4 linked regions of the Arabidopsis thaliana genome follow. The protein of the gene in region 4 purifies or fractionates together with the protein of the main gene of each other region. This does not show direct contact. Each region holds a gene or a part of one and is shown on either strand. Other genes may lie near its edges. The genes, in order: AT1G80750, AT3G58660, AT2G42650 and AT2G37990.

Region 1 (4,741 bases), on a different chromosome or scaffold from region 4:
ATAATGTTGGTGTCTAAATTTATGTTAGGTGCCGGTGTATATCGGAGCTCAGGTGATGGCCTCCGTGAGTGCGGCGTTTGCACTGAAAGCAGTGTTTGAACCAACGATGAGCGGTGGCGTGACGGTGCCGACGGTGGGTCTCAGCCAAGCTTTCGCCTTGGAATTCATTATCAGCTTCAACCTCATGTTCGTTGTCACAGCCGTAGCCACCGACACGAGAGCTGTAAATTACTTATAAAAAACGTTTTTGAAGAGTCTTGAAATTTTGGACGTCAATGAAAACTAATCACAAGATTACAGGTGGGAGAGTTGGCGGGAATTGCCGTAGGAGCAACGGTCATGCTTAACATACTTATAGCTGGGTAAATAAACCATCATTTCTTGAATTCAGTTCTTGTACATAATAATACATGTTACTGATCATGATGTTGTGTCCAACAGACCTGCAACTTCTGCTTCGATGAACCCTGTAAGAACACTGGGTCCAGCCATTGCAGCAAACAATTACAGAGCTATTTGGGTTTACCTCACTGCCCCCATTCTTGGAGCGTTAATCGGAGCAGGTACATACACAATTGTCAAGTTGCCAGAGGAAGATGAAGCACCCAAAGAGAGGAGGAGCTTCAGAAGATGAAAAACACTCGCTTCTATATTACTCTGTTTACATCACATAAATATATGTGTATAATATAATATCTGAAGTCGACGATGCTTATAAAATTTGGAATGCCCTTTAACCAAAATTGCAAGTGTTTCATCAAAATGGTTGGTTTTTAGCCTCGTACAGATCTTTTAAGGAAAATATAGTAAGTAGCTAGCGATTACAACGATTGCTGCTTCTAATTCATTTTGCTGATGAGATCATTGATCTTATCTTCGCGGTTTCCGGTATCTCCTCCTTCGCTGAAAACTTGTTTCTTCCGGTGCAAAACATCAGCCACAGGCTTGTTGAGTTTCAAGGGTCCCAAGAATCTCATAACTTCTCTGAAATGATCTCCGACTCTTGCTATCTCATTCACAAGGTCTTCTATGCCCAAGATTTTGTGTTCTCCTAGAGCCTAAGGTAACAAAAGTGGAAACGATTAAGAACAGCATGGTTATTATCTGGAATAAGCTCCTATACTTTTAAGAGTAGGAAATTTTACCTGTTCGATTATATTGTTGTCGGTAAGAGGAACAGGATTTCCCTCAATGATTGTGCATCCCTTTTTGTATATAAGGTCCTTAACACTCTTATCATTCGGGTATCTTCAAGAATCGTAAACATCGGTTAGCTCATACGAGAATAGAGAAACAGCATGGAAATCGAGTAACAAGGAAATATTGAAAGAGGATTGATTGTCTCTACGTACCCATAAGTGACATAAGGCTGCACTTTGAGAAGCTTTTGGAACAAACTGTCAGTTGCTTTAGCAAATACACCAGTAAAGACGCTCTTTAGTTGCAAATTGTTAAGAATCCTCTTGGTCTTTGGGTGCATATCATTCTTGCTGGTCACCAGAAAGAAAAGGCAAGGATAAGAAACAGGCAGAGATAAAGATTAAAACTCCAGGGGGAAAACAAAGCTAATTGGAGAATATCAAATACCCTTGAATGCGTATGATGAAAACCAGGTCAGATTTAACTGGTGGAGGAGATGACTTTGGCCTCTTTACTCTTTGCTTCATCCGGATCATATCTACTTCCTTAAGTAGGGATAAAATTAGCAAAAAGGGAACAGTTAAATTACAGAGAACAATGCAGGATTGACAGAAGAAACAACAAGTCCTAAGCACAACCTTGCAAAACTAGGGAGAAATCTCAAAGGAGAAACACAAAATTATCTGTAGAAAAGTTACAGTCTAAGAGATAAGTGACAAAACCTAATCATAAAGGTTGATGTATAGCTTTAATTTAACTCAAAGAATAAGCAAAAACAAGTTCTTCTAAGGTGTAGACAAAAGTCAAGAAGCAAAAATCAGAACTTGAGGCAGTAAAACGAATGGAAAAAGACAAAGCAAAAGTTTTTCAGAGAATCTGGAAAAAAAGAAGTGTACCTTAGCCCTGAACTCATGAACAAAATCTTCAGGACGTTTGATATCAGAGACTTTCTTCTTCTTCTTGCCGGAATTACCCAACTCAAGTTGCTTCTTCCTGATAAAGGCAAGCTCATCTCTGTTCTTCCTCTTCTTCAGTACTATCTCCGGTATGTAATCCAAACCCTTAGCTTCTTCCTCAGCCATTATCTCTCTACTCTTTGCTTCTACAACACAAAACAGATTGTCAGATTGAATTTTTTTGCGAAAAAAGTTTATAAACAGAGACTGAACTCAACCCTATAAGAAAGTGAGGCTATAGGGACACCAACAGAATGAACAAGATAAGAAGAACGGAAAAGGGGGAACAAATTTACCGGTGGCGGCAAAGCAATTGGGACGGCGGCTGAAAGAATTCCAAGTCGAAGTTGGTAGCAATGGCCGATTTGAGAAGCCTAGGGTTTATTAACTAAAATCTCTTTTGTGTTATTAACAACTTTGCCACCAGACCTAATTACGCTCCGGGCCAGACTCATAATACTATTGGGCTAAAAAAGCCCAATATTTATGGGCTTATGTAAGGCCTTACTGCCTTTGAATATACCTAGTTTTATTTTATAATATCTTGTGTGATTTTGTTTCTTTTAATTACATGGGATGCATAATTTCTCCATCACTGGTTGATTCAATTCAGTTTTTATTTTATTGACATCATCAGAAGGACAAATCATGAAAACGTACGTTGAAGTTGTGAATCGTTTAGTTACCTTTTGGTTTGGTCTTAGTTTGATTGCTACTTTCAAGAGGCCAACAAAGGAAGATGCTGCATGTGCCTTAGCTACATATATAATCTGTCGGTTATTGTTATAGTTCTTTTTTTTAATATGATCTTTGAAGAAAAGTCAGGTTTCCAATGACTTGAACAAGAGAAAAACTTTTACAAATTGGTTGTTTTTGTTACTCCATCTTCGTTGTCTAATGGTGCTAACCTAAACTTGAGAATCTTGTGGAGTTTGGCAACAGGTTCAACTGTCTTCTTCTGTGGCGTCTGGTTATCACCTTGTGCAAACAGACAAATGAAGAAACCGCAACCCCAAATCAGCATCTTGAAGGGACAGAATAATTACTTGAAACAATAACATGTGTTTCCATGTTTGATAATAAAGAGGAAAAGTGAAACTAACCTTTGTCAGAGAAAGCAAGGCATGTACCAATCGTTGCTATATATTCTCCTACCTGAGAGATCATCAAATCTAACACGATTAAGAATGGTTTAAGCAAAAAGAGTAACTGAACTTGGAAAATTGTACTAGTTGCAAGTAAGAGAATTACCAGCTTCATTTTGCCATCTATGGTCAACACCGGATTCAAAGTATCCAAACCCTATGAGAACCAAACAAAACCAAACTTATAAAACAAGAGAATGCAAAAAGTGAAATGAAAGAATTGGATTGAACTAACTGATAAAGTATAAGGAGCATCTGCTGGAATGTCAATGTGCCTTGAAACGTCATCAAGATCAATCATAACATGTTCATCCTCCATCTCTGTATCAATGTGTTTATTAGGGTGGAGAAGAACACAAAGATATTTATGAATCCTAAAACTTTCTCACTTTCTGAACGCGATTAGATCCAAGAAATTATCATTCTTACATCTCCTAAACAACAAATTTATGTTGAGAATGGTTCACCTCTTTCTTTTTTTCCTTTCAATCTTTCGAGCAAATTCGAAACCCTTCTTTAAGTGAGGGAATCGAAGAACAAGCCTGATGAAGAGGAAGAAACAAAAAAAAAAAAAAAGTAGATCAATTGGTTTCTCTGCTTCTTCTATGTGAAAAATTTGCTCTGTTATGAGATATCAAATTTGGGCCGAATATTATAACGTAAAAGCCCAACCGAAGGAGTGGGGACATTATTTGGGTGAACCAAATCTTTCACCATTATATGGGCTTGTGGGCCTAACTGCCTTCGAATTTACTTAGCTTTTGCGAATGAATGAATAACACTAATAAAAGCTGGTAAGTGGTGATCATTGACCAGAGTTTCGGTCGGTCGGTGGCAACTGAATTACGCAAAATCGAACCAATGTTCGTCGAGAGATCACGGACGTACCTAGCACCTCGGATGCTCAATAACAGGTTTTGTCTGTCTTTTGCTTGGTCTTAATTCTTGTTGGATGGCATCACGTAGGATTGAAGTCTACGCAATAGAATTTGAAATCTTGAGATTAAAAATCATAAGAAATAAAATGGTTCCAAATGATTATAAAGTCAAAGATAAACCAACAAGAAAGAGCTAGACAGTTTAAGCCGCCATTGTTTGAGCATATAGCTCTTGCTAACCCAAAAAATTAAAAGAAAGTCTAGAAAATGAAGTATGATTCCTAAAGATAGTTTCATCATGACGACTTGATGGAGACTGTCAATCAGATTTGATCCTTTGCCTGCATGCATTCGGGATACTTGAATGGCAGCTTGATTACTGGTTCATCATCCGTCAGTCCTTGACTCGCCATACCAAAGGCATATCCTAATGCAACCCCTACAGGAACTGCCACAGCATTCCCAACCTGGATGTACCTACAAAATTTAGATTCAAACCCAGTTTTTACATACATTAGGATCTCCAGTTTAAAAACAATCATATACATAGATAGAAAAGCAGCAAGAACCAAGGACTTACTTTTCCTTAATTGTTCCACAGAGCTTGTAACAATCAGGGAAC
Region 2 (4,448 bases), on a different chromosome or scaffold from region 4:
AAGAATCATGGTTTAAACCACTAGGTTGTTGATTAGAGAAAAGGTCTCATACTCTCATAGAACATGCTCATTATCTGTATTGCTAAACAGATTTGGTTTAAGACTATCATTTGTTACTATGGCAATGTTGTTGATGACATCATATGTGAAACCAGGTGAGATTGAAGTGATGAATGGAGAAGTGATCTCAAATGTGACATGGCTTGAAGAGTATCAACCTCCAGATAACTTTGTGATATGGAGAGTTCCGTACAGAGGTCCAGTGATTAGAAAATGAGAAATACAAAAAGGATTAAACATATTAAAAAAGAGCAGAAAGAGAAAGGTGCTTATGATCAGGAGAATAATTGGTAAACCATTCAGAGGCTGGCTGCATAATGGTCGAGGTTCTTACATAATTGTGACCACATTAAGTTCCAGCCTATGTCGTTGTATGATAATGTTTACTACATACAACTTTATGATTACTTCACTAGTTTAATATTATAATTTTTTCCCCCTATTTTTATATGCAGCTACACAAAAAATTGCTCATAAACAGTGTTCTATTTAGTTATCATAAATTTTGTTTCCATTGATCTTTTGCATTTCCTTATTTCATGTCTTCTCTAGATCATATCAACTTTTAATTCTTCTTATGACTGAAAGACGAAGCCTGAAGTGCTGTGCTGGCTTGCGAGTAATAAAAAAACTCATGCAGATTTTGGGTATAACTGTTCTAAGAGACCTCTATATGATTTAAATGGTTAAAGCTTTGGTGAGCCATTTACTAAGAGATGGGGATCAAGATCATGCAAGTACCATCATAACCTGATCAATGCTTATTGCAATAAATTCAGATAAATAGTCTTTGTTTAGAAAGAAAAACCTTTAAAAAGTTAAAAGGTGAACAGTAGTATGTTTCCTCCACAAAACCATCAAACCCACATTCACCAGTTCAATGTTTCATAGAAGTAGTACAAGATATGAAATGGCTCAAAAATGTAATAAGAACTACGATAGAAAATAAAACATAAATCATACTCAAAAGCAAACACTCAAGACCTTCCTCTGCCTCATTTCCTAAGCACACTCTTTCTCTTCGGCTTCAATCCACCACCAGATTCGTCTTTCGCAACCATTGTTGTCTTTTTCGCCTTTAAGCCGTCCTTGCTCTTCTCCAGCTTCACAACATCTGGTTTAACTTTCCCCTTGACCGCAGCTTTCTGCATAGGTTTCTCAACATCGGGTTTCGACTTCCCTTTGGCAGCTTTCTTCATCGGTTTCTCAACATCAGGTTTCAACTTCCCTTTGGCAGCTTTCTTCATCGGCTTCTCACTCTCTGCAACTTCACTTACCTCCTTCTTCCTCTTCTTCATCTTCTTCTCCTCAGACTCAACAATCTCATTATTATCCTCGTCACCACCAATCTCATCCTCATCAAGCACCTCAGCTACATTACTATCCATATACCTAACCTCGTGAATCCTACCTTTCTTCTTCTTTCCCTTCCCTGTAACACTCTTCTCTCCACCATCAACAGCAACAACTTCTTCAACTTCACCTTCCTTCTCCTCCTGAACAACACTCTTTCCAGACCCAAAAGCATCGATTTTAAGCTTCAAATCAGGAACAGACTGATATATAGGCAAAGCTAAACTCTCAGACAACTTCAAATGCAAAGACCTAACGTACGTCCACTTATTAGGCAAGAACTCAACTAGTCCATTCAATGTCGCCATCACATTCTCAGTAATTTCACAAATATCCATAGACAATTTCCCAACCTTAATGACACTACACGTCCCAGTCCTTATGAAGAACATAGCAGATCCACAAGCTTTCTCTATCTGATGTTTCCAGTTCCTGTGCTTCAAATCAAGCGCCACCGGAATCTTCTTGCTCGTAAAGAACTTCTTCCCAATCACCCTCGGCAGCAGAGGAATGATCCTCCGATCAGTGAAAAACATGTCGTAAGAGTCGCAGAGTTTCCTCTTCGCTTCGAACGCCTTGTAATCACTCTTCAGTTTCGAAAGCTTAATAACCTTGGTGATTGGAATATTCTCAGATTTGATCTTCTTCATCGCATCATCTTTGGTGAGACCACTTTTAGGTCTGTCGTCGATGATGAGACAAATCTCCGGCGAATCGACCGTCGGGTTGATAAGAGGATGAGGTAAAGGGATACGGTAAGCATTCGTACGGGTCTTCTGTGGAATCTTCTTCAAAGTAACGAAAAGGTAGACGAGCTCGTCTTCTTCGAGAAGTTGAGGCTTCTCTGTCTTTGATTTGTCGCTTCTCCAATTGATAAGACCATTGAGGGCGCTCTCCACTGTCTTGGGACTCACTCTTGAAGTCTGCGAAGCGTGAACAAGTTGCTGCTCCTGCGGCGGCGGCGGCGAAACTGCGGTGGTCATGGGAGGGATTGAGGAAGAGAGAGTACAGAGATTAGGGTTTAAGGAGGAAGGGGACAGAAGAAGGATTTATCACTGATATATTATTTCCCTGGGTTAATGGGCCTACCTTTATTTTGGCCCATAATAGTTTTCTTATAAAGATGGGCCGGACTTTCTTCTAGTGTAACTTTTCTAAAGGTTATTTTCTTATAAAGATTGGCCCATATACGAATTTCGACTATCTCTTCCGGAAAACAGTCTATTTCCTCGACACATCATACTAGATAGAATCTGATTTGTGAGCACGATCTATATGTCCTCGAAGAAATAATTTTATATCTATTTCTTTCCGAAACAAAAGTTCAATATCTAAATCTTCTTGAATTAATAGTTATAGATCTAGAAATCCACGAGATTTGGTTTCAACGATTTTTAAAATAGAAACTGTTTGATTAAAACTATTGAATATCAATCTTTTAAAGTCGATTTTGGAGATAAAAAGAATCAACAGAGAAATAAGTATGTTGGAATTAGGGATCTAGGAAAATTTAAAATTCTCTATTATTCAATAGTTTACAAAAAAATCAATAAAAACTATTGATCTAAAATAATGATTTTTGGAATTAAAAATAAGAAATTAAATACTCAATATATATATATATATATATATATATATATATATATATATGAGTCAACCTTTCAACCATGTTGGTTTGTGTTTTGTCATTGTCTCTTTAACTTTCTCTCTCTGTTTATTAAAATATTTCGGTTTGTAACAGCTAGTAAACTACTGATTAAAAGTTTTGAAATGTTATTAATTTGATTTTATTTTCGGAAGTTTAACTTTGAAAAGTATGAATTCACTATCGGCTCTGCATTGTGAGATTCAAGTCTTCATGCGTGTAAAGCTTCCTAGGGATTTTATCGAATTGTTCAGACATCGTTCTCATATACTCTACTCTCTTTGGTTTCGCTACTTCGAAGCAACTCAAACCACAACAACTTCCTCTACTCATTTATTCTGTTTTTAAAAAAAAAAACTGATTGTGAAATATCAAGAGTCCAAAAAAAATTTGAACTTTTAAGTAATTCGAATCATAGAATGCAGCATATTACAAATATTCAAAACTATACGAAAGTGGAGCCCTTGTGAGACGGACACAAATATGAATTGTGGTAATGCCCAACGAAATAATTTTATAATAATCAAAATGGAATATTAATATATACAGTGATTGCACTGTTTACAATAAAGTCTTTGCCTTTATTTTTCTACACCTGAAAATTGAATCGTTATGACCTCTTTTAAATTATGTGTTTTTTTTGTCCCCTAACCAATTCAAATTCTCTTATGTTTGAAACTGCAAACTGAACTGAAACATGTATAAACATCATCAAGCTATATATTTCCATCTGCATTGGATACCAAATATAAACATCATCAAGCTTGTGACAAAAAAAAAAAAAAAACATCATCAAGCTATATATATTTGTAGATGAGATCATGCTATATGTATAAAAGCCAAAATAGTTGTTGAAACAAAAGATTTTCCTTTTATGTATAGAAAAAAGAAACACTTTTAATAGCTCAAAGGAGGGAGCTTTCAGTTTCCTAAATTCAAAACTCTCTTTGTCTCTGTCTGTCTTTCTCTCTCTCTCTCTCTTTGCAACGGCTCTCTCTGTCGTCATTTCAATTCAAACTCAGCTTCTCTCATTTTTTTAAAAACGTCTCTTGCTGCTTCTTCACTTCTCTTAGCTCACTACCCAAATCCCTAATCTCAAATCTGCTTTGAGCCTTCCTGATCTTACGCATTCCTCCAAAACCCCCCAAATATTTTCTTTGTTTTGTTTGTCTGATTTGATAAATCTCATTTTGTGTTTTTATCTTCTTCCATGGTCGTTGTTCTTGTTCTACAGTGCGATTCGTGAGCTGAGAGAGATAAAAGTGGAGAGCTTTGGTCGATCTTTAGGGCTAGATCTCCCAAAGCCACCATTGTTTCGATTTGGGTCAATCCAATTTGCAAAACATCTCTCAGCTGTGTCTGTCTGGGTTCTCATTTTGCTGAATTCGGT
Region 3 (4,190 bases), 1.9 Mb from region 4:
GCAGCATCTCTTGCCTCTACCACAGTCATCTCCCTAAGGTCTAAAATCACAAGAGTGTCTCCTTAGCCCATAGGTTTCACTCAAGAAAAGACGAATAACGTAGGTACCAAAATATTAAGAATCAAACTTCGCTTACCAGTAGCTTGGACCTCTAGGTCAGCTAACCTACATAGGCAAAAGCAGAATGGTTAAGTAAATATAGACTCGGATATACTGTTGCAGAAATAAATGTTTCAGTGACATACTAAGTTGCATTCCATATATTCCTTATCAAAGCATTTAACTAGTAGACAATTCTCAAAGACTGGCTACAAAACTTATTCAAAGTGTTGGACTTTTCGATACTTATAGAAGAGATTCACTTCAATAATTCAGCCTCAGAACTTACGACAAGATCACGGAACCATTTGATTCCACCACTGATCCTCGGTGACCTCTGCAACACTTAGCTCCCATTTTCAAGTCCTCGGTTGCAAAATTTCAAATTCCTGCATAGATTTCAAAACCCATTTCAAAATAAAATCCCACCAACTTCGATGGATTCAAACACACAAGAACCCATAAACCAAACGGTCTAAAATCATATAAGAAAAGGCTAAAGAGCAAAAGAAGAATAAGGGTTTATGAAAAAACTCACAGAAAGCAGATAAACGTCCTTCCAATTCCAAAATCCAGCAATCAATCTGCTTAAATCGCACTGCGAAACAAGAGAAAGACAGAAGAGAGATCTGAAGATTGCCATGATCAAGCAACAAAGAGCTAAACGTACACACATATAGAGTATGTGTACGTATATGCATAGAGATTTGCAACAGAGATTCATGAGATAAAAATTGGATTTTGGAGGTTTTGAAAGTTTTGATTTTGATGGCGGAAGAAGCAAAAACACAGTCAAGGGGTTTTACGAAAGTGACGAAGCAAGTCACGTGCGAGGGATTATGAGTCACGTGCCGAGAAGCACTTATTCACAGGATATATTTCATAAGTACAATTTTGTCCTCTACCTACATGGATTGTTTTTGTCATCCATTTCTATCTCAAAGATCTTCGAAACAAGATACATATTTGATAGTCATTACACTATGAATGACAATATATTATCAGATTGTTCATGCATATGAGATAGATTTCTTAAAAGAGGATGATGTAAATGAACAAGAATCTAACAAGAGTTTGATGAAAAATGAGGATGAACTTTTTTTGAAAAGAGTATAATAGAAAATCAACGAATGTATTCAATCTTCGAAAAAGATTGCAATAAGAATGACTCAAGAGAATTCATCCTACTTCAATATTGATGTTGATTATGATACTTACACGTCAACAACAACAGATCATCAAAGTGTTTGGCAGTGCGGCTATTTCTTTGTTTGTCAAAAACCTGACATTTCTATCATTTCATGTATTCTCTCAATGAACTCAATAAGATATCACACATTTTGGTTTATAAAGAAATCCCTCCATTTATATAGTACTTACATAAAGAAAAGTGTTTGAGAATTTTGTTTTGGTTATCTAAATATTGACATTTTCAATTAATGTGATTCTCACTTTTTTCTTAAAGAAATATTTATTTTTAAAGTTTGAAGAGCTATAAGAGGAATTAGACATTTTGCGAAGGGAATAAAAACTTGAAAATAAAGAAAACAATTTTATTAATAATTATATTGTCCAGGTGTATATACTTTATTTCTTTGTATATAAAAATTAGCATCAAATATATTTGGTAAGTACGTTTTAGACAAGTATGGTAAATGACAGCCAAGTACTACATGACTCATATTTTATATAATTAATTTCATATTTTAAATTTATATCTATATCTACATTAACATGAAATAAAAAAGATTTCATGTATTGATAAAATAAGCTAGTTTGTCATAATTTCCTATATCTTAAATCTTACCAATTACCATCTTCTAAAAGTTTCTCTTACCACACAAAAAAAAAATCTTCAAAACATTTCTCCTATGCAAAACTTGAGGACAATTTATAAAACAACATAGTTAAGCCCATTAACTAATATTATGGGCCTTAAGAAACGCAAAACAAACTCGTTTAATAGAAAAGATTTCTCCGATGCAAAAACTTGAGGACAATTTATGAAAACAATATAATTAAGCCCATTAACCAATATTATGGGCCTTAAGAAACCCAAAACAAACTCGTTTAAAAGTCATCGTCCTCCGTAAACCCTGAATCTTCCTTCACAGAACCCTAAATAACTTTTCTTTTCCTCCGACCACCGCAGCTCAGCCGCAACCGCCGCCACCACTTATGTCAAGAGTAAGTCCCAAGACTGTGGACGATGCAGTTAAGGCTCTGGTCAAAGAGGGAAACGAAAAATCAAGGACGGAGAAGCCACAGCTTCTAGAAGAAGACGGATTCTTTTACCTAGTCGTAGCCCTAAAGAAGATTCCACAGAGGAATTTTACGAACGCTTATCGTATTCCTCTCCCGCATCCGCTAATTAACACTACCGAAGACTCACCGGAGCTCTGTCTCATCATCGACGACAGACCTGAAAGTGGTCTCACCGAGGAAGATGCGAAGAAGAATATCAAATCAGAGAACATACCAATCACGAAAGTTGTTAAGCTTTCGAAGCTGAAATCGGATTATGGATCATTCGAATCGAAACGGAAGCTTTGTGATTCATACGATATGTTTTTCTCAGATCGGAGAGTGATTCCTATGTTGCCAAAATTGATTGGGAAGAAGTTCTTTCAGAGCAAGAAGACTCCTGTGGCTATTGATTTGAAGCATATGAATTGGAAAGAGCAGATTGAGAAAGCTTGTGGTGCTGCTATGTTCTTCATGAGGACTGGGTCTTGTAGTGCGATCAAAGTTGCGAAATTGTCCATGGAAAGCGATGATATCGTTGAGAATGTGACGGCGACTTTGAATGGTGTTGTTGATGTTTTGCCTAGTAGGTGGAAATACATAAGATCTTTGCATTTGAAGTTATCTGAGAGTTTATCTTTGCCATTATATCAGACAGTGCCTTATTTGCAGCTCAAGATTGATCCTTTAGGTGTTGAAGAAGTTAAGAATGGTGAAGGATTAGCTAAAAGTGATGTTGATGATAGTAGTAGTAAGAGTGTGAAGACAAAGAAGAAGAATGGAAAGATTCATGAGGTTAGATATATGGATAGTAATGTATCTGAGACTCTTGGTGATGATGAATTCGATAGGAGTGTTGGAGAAGATGAGGTTGCTGATGATCTCAATGCTTCTGGAGATAAGAAGAAGAGGAAGAAGATGAGTAGTAGTAAGTCTGCAGTGAGTGGGAAACCAGACATTGTGAAGAGTAAGAATGGGCAAAAGTCGAAAAAGCTAAAGAAGGACATTGATGAGTCTGGTGGTGGATTCAAAGCTAAGACTAAGAGGAGGTGAACCAAGAAAAGAAGATTTTATATTAATGTCGTTATAACTAAGTATTCTATTCTTTCTGCTTGAGTGATTTTTTTGGATACTGATTATGACTTTGTCTTATTATGGTATCATCATCATGATTCTTATATATTTAGGACTTTTATTATCGTTTACTATTTCATCAAACTAGTGACTTGCCATGTAGTTGATTTGGTGGTTTTGACGAGGAAACATATTATTACATGTGTTTTGTTGCATTCCAGAATTGGTGTTGTATTGAATGCAGAGAAACCGCTAAGGATAAGTACTTGCAGGATCTGACTCAAGCCTGATCCAGATCCTGGCTAAGTACTCATCCCATGAAACGGCTAAGGAAAACAAAAGTCTCTACTCTTGAATCTCTTTTAAAGTTAAACTTCATCTCTCTAGTATGTTGGTTACGGTTCTGATGATGTCGACAACAGAGAGAGCGAGAGCATTGTGTTGATATCATCTGTTGGTTTTTGCCTGCAATTTCCAAACTCAGGCAACTGTATCCCACCTCCGGACATTGATTTCAATCGTTTGACTGATGATACTTCTTCATCTCGGACTCTTTTCTCATTGTTCTTCTTCCTAATCTGCATAAGATTTCACCAAGATTACAGTACCTTCCTCGGTTTTTAACAAAACTGTTCCTCTATAACTCTTAAAACGAAAGTAGGTAGTTACCTCGAGTAGAGGCAGAGTCTTGTTCTCTGTGCTGTCTCGGTCATTTCTGCATAACCCGCTAAACCAGCTCGAAGGTCGCATAAGAAAGTTACCTCCAAGATTTG
Region 4 (5,528 bases):
CTGACAAGTAGTATCGCAGTTGTAAAATGGTAGGTTTTAGAAATTCTTAAGAACATGTGGCTTGAAGTGGCAATTGAAATATTTGATTGTTGTTTTCGGTTTTGACAGGAAGACTCTGTCGAAGCGAAAGGTGAGTGCAACAAGAGGAGCTGGGTCAGTACCAGAAGAAGTATTTGACAGAGCAGAAGGAGTTCAGCTTTGCAACACACAAGCTTACCAGTGCACGCCAGCTTACTTTGCAGACTCATATTTCCTCAACAGATTCTCCTCAGAAGTTATCTCGTTAAGAGCTGAAGTTCCACCGACAGCGAATGTAGTATGTGAGAGACACACCATATCTGTTGTGCCTGTGACTCGTGTCACCATGGAAGATCGTGGGAAAGCGTTCAGCTTTTACATAATCGGTTTTGGTAAGGAGATATACTTGAAAGATTATTACCCAGCAAGATTCTGTTGGGGTTTGTGTCCCTGTCTTGAGTGGTTAAAGGTTTGAAAAACCAGAGTTGATCTTTGTTCTTCTCTACTTGAATGTAAAGAGACAAGATAGAGTGTAGTCAATGTGTTTGAATATTAGTGTGGATTGAGAGCTTTAGAGAGAAAATCAAACTGGATTTCTAGACCTTGCGAGCTTTAAATTGTTTTATGGTGCAAAATATGAAGTCAATAAGATTAAAATAAACGTACTCATAAAGTATTACTTTAACAGAGCAACCCAAAATTTGTTTTGTGATAGAAGATGGAGACAGATAGAAGAGTAAATTAGACATGGGAGAGTCTCTTCACTTGGCTTTGTTGGCAGGCTTCTTGGTGATGTCCTTCTTAGGTTTCAACTTGTCTGACCTTCCTGACTTCTTCTTCTCCTTCTTGACGTTGTACATGTTTATCGCCTAAATCATATTATACGCAACAGTTTAACACAATCTTTTCACATACAAACATCAGAGGTAATAGACCAAACCAGAGAGGAGAGCTGAGAAGTGAATTGGTTTTACCTTGCCAACATTGAGGATCTCATGCGAATGCTTTGAGAATATCTTGCTGAGTACATTATTTGTCTGTTCTTTTTCTGCGTTAACATCCCCACGCCCTGATACAACCGGTAAATACTGCAAATATTCCACAAATATCATCAACAGATATGGTCATTTAGTAATCAAATTATCAAAGGAGGGACAAGATTACTAAATTACCTTGTGATGTTTGCCCTGCTTCTTTGGAGGTTTTTCTCCAGGCAACTTTTTATCGAATTTTCCACCACTAGCGGTTGAAGTAGCGGCTAAACCTGCTACATCTCCAAGTTCATCCTTTCCAATTTTCTTTGGTTGAGCTTTCGTTCCTGATATGGGCAATGATGTTGCAGCAAGTTGGACATGGCTGCAAATAATGTTGACCCAGTTAGACCTTCAGTTTTCAAAAACCATGAAAAAGGTGGTATGATAATTCCAAAAAGAAATCCTATATCGAGCTAGGATTGACTTCAATTTCTTTCCGTCAGATAACACTTAGATTTTAGCAACTACATTAGTATGTTATCTCACGCAAGGATAACAAATGCAATACCGATCAAAGAAGCTGTTTTACCTTGGTAAAGCACCAGCTTTTTCAGCAGCCTTCAGATTCTGAAGTCTATTCTTTTCTTGCTTTCCAACTCTCTTCTTCTTATCATCTAGTCTCTTGGCAAAAGGATCTACTCCTGGTTCTGCAATTAACCAAAAGCTTTCATAAATAGTAGAAAAAATAATGTAATGCAACTCCATATCCTTGTCTTCAAACTCAAAGAGATTAGATTTCAACATTGTCTCTAACAACATAATCTAAGATAGTTGTTTTCCATAAGACTTACCATCTGATTCTTTCGCCTCAATGATGGGAACATCATTATCATCGTTAACACGGTCATAACCATGGCGACGCTTAAACTGATTAGTTTGTTCATCCCATACAACTTTTTCCTTCTTGCGCTTCTGTATACCTAAGAAACAGAACCAAGAACAATTCCAAACGAAATAAACATTAGTACCTTCAAACTATAGAACACAGAGGTCGTCGACCCATCAAAATCTGAACAAAATAAAGCTTCCAATCCTTAAAACAATTTCTTAAACAGCTTTTACCTTTCTTAAGCGCAAACTCTTCCCACTTCGTAGGAGGCTTAGGCCTTGGAATCTGGGAAAAGAGGAGAAGGTTACAAGCTTTAGTACAATACAAAGATAAGTGATGAGCAAAAATATGAACTTGTTCTAGTCTTTTGGATAAGCTCATACAAGAAATCACTCGTTTGCATTTGAAACTGGTTAAATCCATGTGTTGCATGAGAATGGAGATAGTGGAAAATAAAAAGGAAGATCTTACATGTTTCTCTCTAGGAAGTTTGGTTGTAGGCGGAGGCAATTGGACAATAGGACCATCATTTGTTTCAGTAGAAGGAAAGTTGAAAAGTTTATTGGCTATTTCCTGAACAAGTTTTGTTCCCTCCGTTAGGATCTCCTTCACAAGCTCCCCCCTAAAATAATTCGAACAAATCATCATCAAGGACAGAAATAAAACAAGCTCTCAACAGAAACAAGTAACTCAAGTAAGACGATATTGTATTGATAGCGACACAGCATTGTTCCCTAATTACAAAAGAATGCAACTGAGGAAGAGGTTCAACTCCCAAAACTCTTAAAACAGCACTCAGAGAAGTTGCTTAAAGACGCAACCTTTTCGATTGGGTCATCGTCTTAAGATATTTAACTCTTGTACTTCCGAGATTGATGCTTAGAGAAACTAATTGAAGAAACTCTTGTACTTAAACAGAGCTTTTGTTAATAAATCACTCTTACGAAAAAATTCATACTTTACTTAACATTATTCAGCAATTGAAAAGTTTACAACAAGTATGAAGATAAACCCATTCCAAATCAACTAAATCAGGATTAAACAAATATATAATCAAGCCGCCGCCATCGAAGAACTCAACACAAGCTTAAGATAAGACGGGAAAGGACGAACCTTGAAGAAGGAGCAGATGGGAAGCGGTGATTGGGATTGAAAGCCAAGAGATTTCCGACATCGACCTGGTATATTTGTTCTGTCTCCATCTCGGTGTCCATGTCTTCCCGGCGCAGTGTTTTGGAATTGAGAGAGTGGAGGAAGAATGAAAATTTTTTGTTAGGGTTTTGCGATATTTTGAGTTAAACCTTTTCTCTCCAACTTAAATAACGGAAATTTGCTAAGAAATCCTTTCTTCCTTTATAACTTTCAAAAATATATTTAACTTTCGAAATCGAACAATTTAGTACTAAACTTTTTTTTTAAAAACAAATAAGTACCACATAAAATTGCAACGAACACCGTTATTCGTATTTATTAACTGTCATAAATCTCTAAATTTCATAGTTTTTAGCCTTAAATTAAGAAAATCCCAAATTTCACTAATCCAAATAACCCTACCCGAGATTTGCATATTTTATTTCTCAAGACCATAACGTTGTTAAGAATACATTAATACCCTATCGTATTAAAAAAACTCACGACAATTTCGGTTCTTTTTGTATGTTTTAGCTTCTTAGCATAATGTGAATCAAGATAAGTTTGGTAGCCATGGAATGTATGGATTGTCACTACAGTTGGAATCCAAAAAATAACCTGACTTAAAGAATGTAAAGAAGTTCGAACATGGAAGTGGGAGTCTGGCACCAACAGTTTGAGGTCAGAAACAAGACTTAGGTCTATTGAATATAAAGGTACGTGTGTTAACTTGAGATTAATGACTAATCTATTGGTGAATATGTGTGTGAGGAATATAAAACACTTAAAAATTAGTGTTTATCAAAAGAGCTAAAACAGAAAATCGAGTAGATAATTTCTTGATCATGAATATCTTGATCATGAGTTATCTAACAGGGGATTTATTTGATAGGTGGCTCCATTTGAATTTTCTAGTAAGTATACTTGTTTCCATCTAGATAATGTGAAGATGTGTGTGACTCATGAAATTCATTCTCATGGTTGTTCAATTTGTTCTCTAATACAAGATCAACAATTTTGTGAAAAGTTTTATCATGATCTCATTCTGATATTAATTAAAAATTTAAGCTGCTAAGAAAACCAGATTCAGTATAGAAATTTTTAAAAAGATAAAACATAAAACCAAGACACAAATACACGATCTAGTGAGTTTCGGTTGATTCTTTCAAATCGTCCATTAATCCCCAACTACAATAATAGATGGTTCAACTTCATAATTAGAAGAACAAAAACATGTGAATATATTAGCTTCTATACGAATCTTGATTATACAAGAACATGATCGAAGGTACAAAGAAGCAAAGCAGTGATCTTATCTAATTACACCGAGTTGCACTTGTGTATGTCTTTGTTATTCTACTCCTACTACAATTATCATTTTCGATATAAATAATTTCAATGCAGCATGAATACACATCTGAATTTTATGTTTTTAATTAACGCCTGATTTCAACATAATTCTTCTTGTATTTGTTGCCCTTCACTCTTTTTTGGAAGAAGAATATATTTATATCGTTATACCCTCCCTTTCTTAAAAAAAAAGGACCATATCTATCACCAAACCTCTATTCAAAAAAACTTCTTAAAAAAAAAAGACACATACATGTTCCATAAACAAGAGATTTGATATGAAACCGAATCTTATTGTAATTGCAATTTTGCCTTAAACATACAATGCTAGTGTTTAATTCTATATATGACTGGATTACTCACAAACAAAATCTAATTATATTATGATTAAGATCTTTGCGAAGATCATCAAGTTCTAAACGAGGAAAAATAAATCATCAACTTTGAGTATTTCAATGAACCACTTATCAGAAAATTGAAGTTTAAAACCGATTGTCATTTCTAATTTATTACATCCAAAAATCTGTTTTTACATTGAAACATAGACAACGATCAACTTATAAACACATACTACGACAATATCCATGACGTTCAAAACATCACTAACCAGCTAAATCTATTTGCAATACTCTTCACATTTGTATACCTTTATTTTATATGAGTTTTAAATATTTTGTTGTATAACAACACATTTTTGTACCTCGTCCGACATATTTACAAATGATTTGGTACTTGACTTAACGCAAATGACAAGTTCACATGTAAGATCAAGGGAGATCGTGTATCGGCCGTCTGATTCGGATCCAACGGCCATCAAGGCACGAAGAAGGTGCAGAAGACGAATTTCACGCTGGTGCTCTTTGCCGACCGGCTTGAGATCCGGAAAGTGTTTGGAATGAATCCACGTGGTAGCAGGTGATAGGAGGTATGTGGTTAGGGGTTACGTGTCCAATATATTTGACGGCAAATCTAAGGTTTGGCCCACATGTTACATCTTGATCAAGTGTTAATTTGTACGTTTTTCAGTTTCTAGTGTAAGAAATTAGCTAAAAATTTTAAAGACAAAGATAATAAACATTTTAAAACATGTAATGATAGCAACTAAGTTGCATTGTTCATTTTTCTAAATAACAAAATAATAATTAAAGGGTAAACGAACGACATGT

The links.
Region 1: the proteins of AT2G37990 (region 4) and AT1G80750 fractionate together in Arabidopsis thaliana (co-fractionation; one large-scale study listed by BioGRID). This does not show direct contact.
Region 2: the proteins of AT2G37990 (region 4) and AT3G58660 fractionate together in Arabidopsis thaliana (co-fractionation; one large-scale study listed by BioGRID). This does not show direct contact.
Region 3: the proteins of AT2G37990 (region 4) and AT2G42650 fractionate together in Arabidopsis thaliana (co-fractionation; one large-scale study listed by BioGRID). This does not show direct contact.

The regions. Positions count from the first base shown.
Region 1 is NC_003070.9:30,346,533-30,351,273, reverse strand, and holds AT1G80750 (Ribosomal protein L30/L7 family protein), read right to left. Parts: upstream 2,605-4,741; 5' UTR 2,393-2,604; intron 2,243-2,392; 5' UTR 2,223-2,242; coding exon 2,037-2,222; intron 1,686-2,036; coding exon 1,588-1,685; intron 1,491-1,587; coding exon 1,353-1,490; intron 1,249-1,352; coding exon 1,146-1,248; intron 1,059-1,145; coding exon 840-1,058; 3' UTR 710-839; downstream 1-709. Other genes in the region: NIP6;1 (NOD26-like intrinsic protein 6;1), read left to right, coding at 29-223, 301-362, 442-634; AT1G80745 (Transcription factor TFIIIC, tau55-related protein), read right to left, coding at 2,953-3,074, 3,200-3,251, 3,348-3,398, 3,477-3,560; CMT1 (chromomethylase 1), read right to left, coding at 4,443-4,596, 4,700-4,741.
Region 2 is NC_003074.8:21,699,522-21,703,969, reverse strand, and holds AT3G58660 (Ribosomal protein L1p/L10e family), read right to left. Parts: upstream 2,437-4,448; 5' UTR 2,397-2,436; coding exon 1,056-2,396; 3' UTR 856-1,055; downstream 1-855. Other genes in the region: AT3G58670 (2-aminoethanethiol dioxygenase, putative (DUF1637)), read left to right, coding at 156-277.
Region 3 is NC_003071.7:17,763,253-17,767,442, forward strand, and holds AT2G42650 (Ribosomal protein L1p/L10e family), read left to right. Parts: upstream 1-1,925; 5' UTR 1,926-2,277; coding exon 2,278-3,396; 3' UTR 3,397-3,636; downstream 3,637-4,190. Other genes in the region: AT2G42640 (Mitogen activated protein kinase kinase kinase-like protein), read right to left, coding at 1-40, 137-165, 389-456; AT2G42660 (Homeodomain-like superfamily protein), read right to left, coding at 3,813-3,995, 4,087-4,190.
Region 4 is NC_003071.7:15,898,280-15,903,807, reverse strand, and holds AT2G37990 (ribosome biogenesis regulatory protein (RRS1) family protein), read right to left. Parts: upstream 3,174-5,528; 5' UTR 3,096-3,173; coding exon 2,995-3,095; intron 2,504-2,994; coding exon 2,353-2,503; intron 2,167-2,352; coding exon 2,115-2,166; intron 1,973-2,114; coding exon 1,844-1,972; intron 1,700-1,843; coding exon 1,582-1,699; intron 1,375-1,581; coding exon 1,191-1,374; intron 1,107-1,190; coding exon 993-1,106; intron 888-992; coding exon 780-887; 3' UTR 590-779; downstream 1-589. Other genes in the region: AT2G38000 (chaperone protein dnaJ-like protein), read left to right, coding at 1-29, 109-493.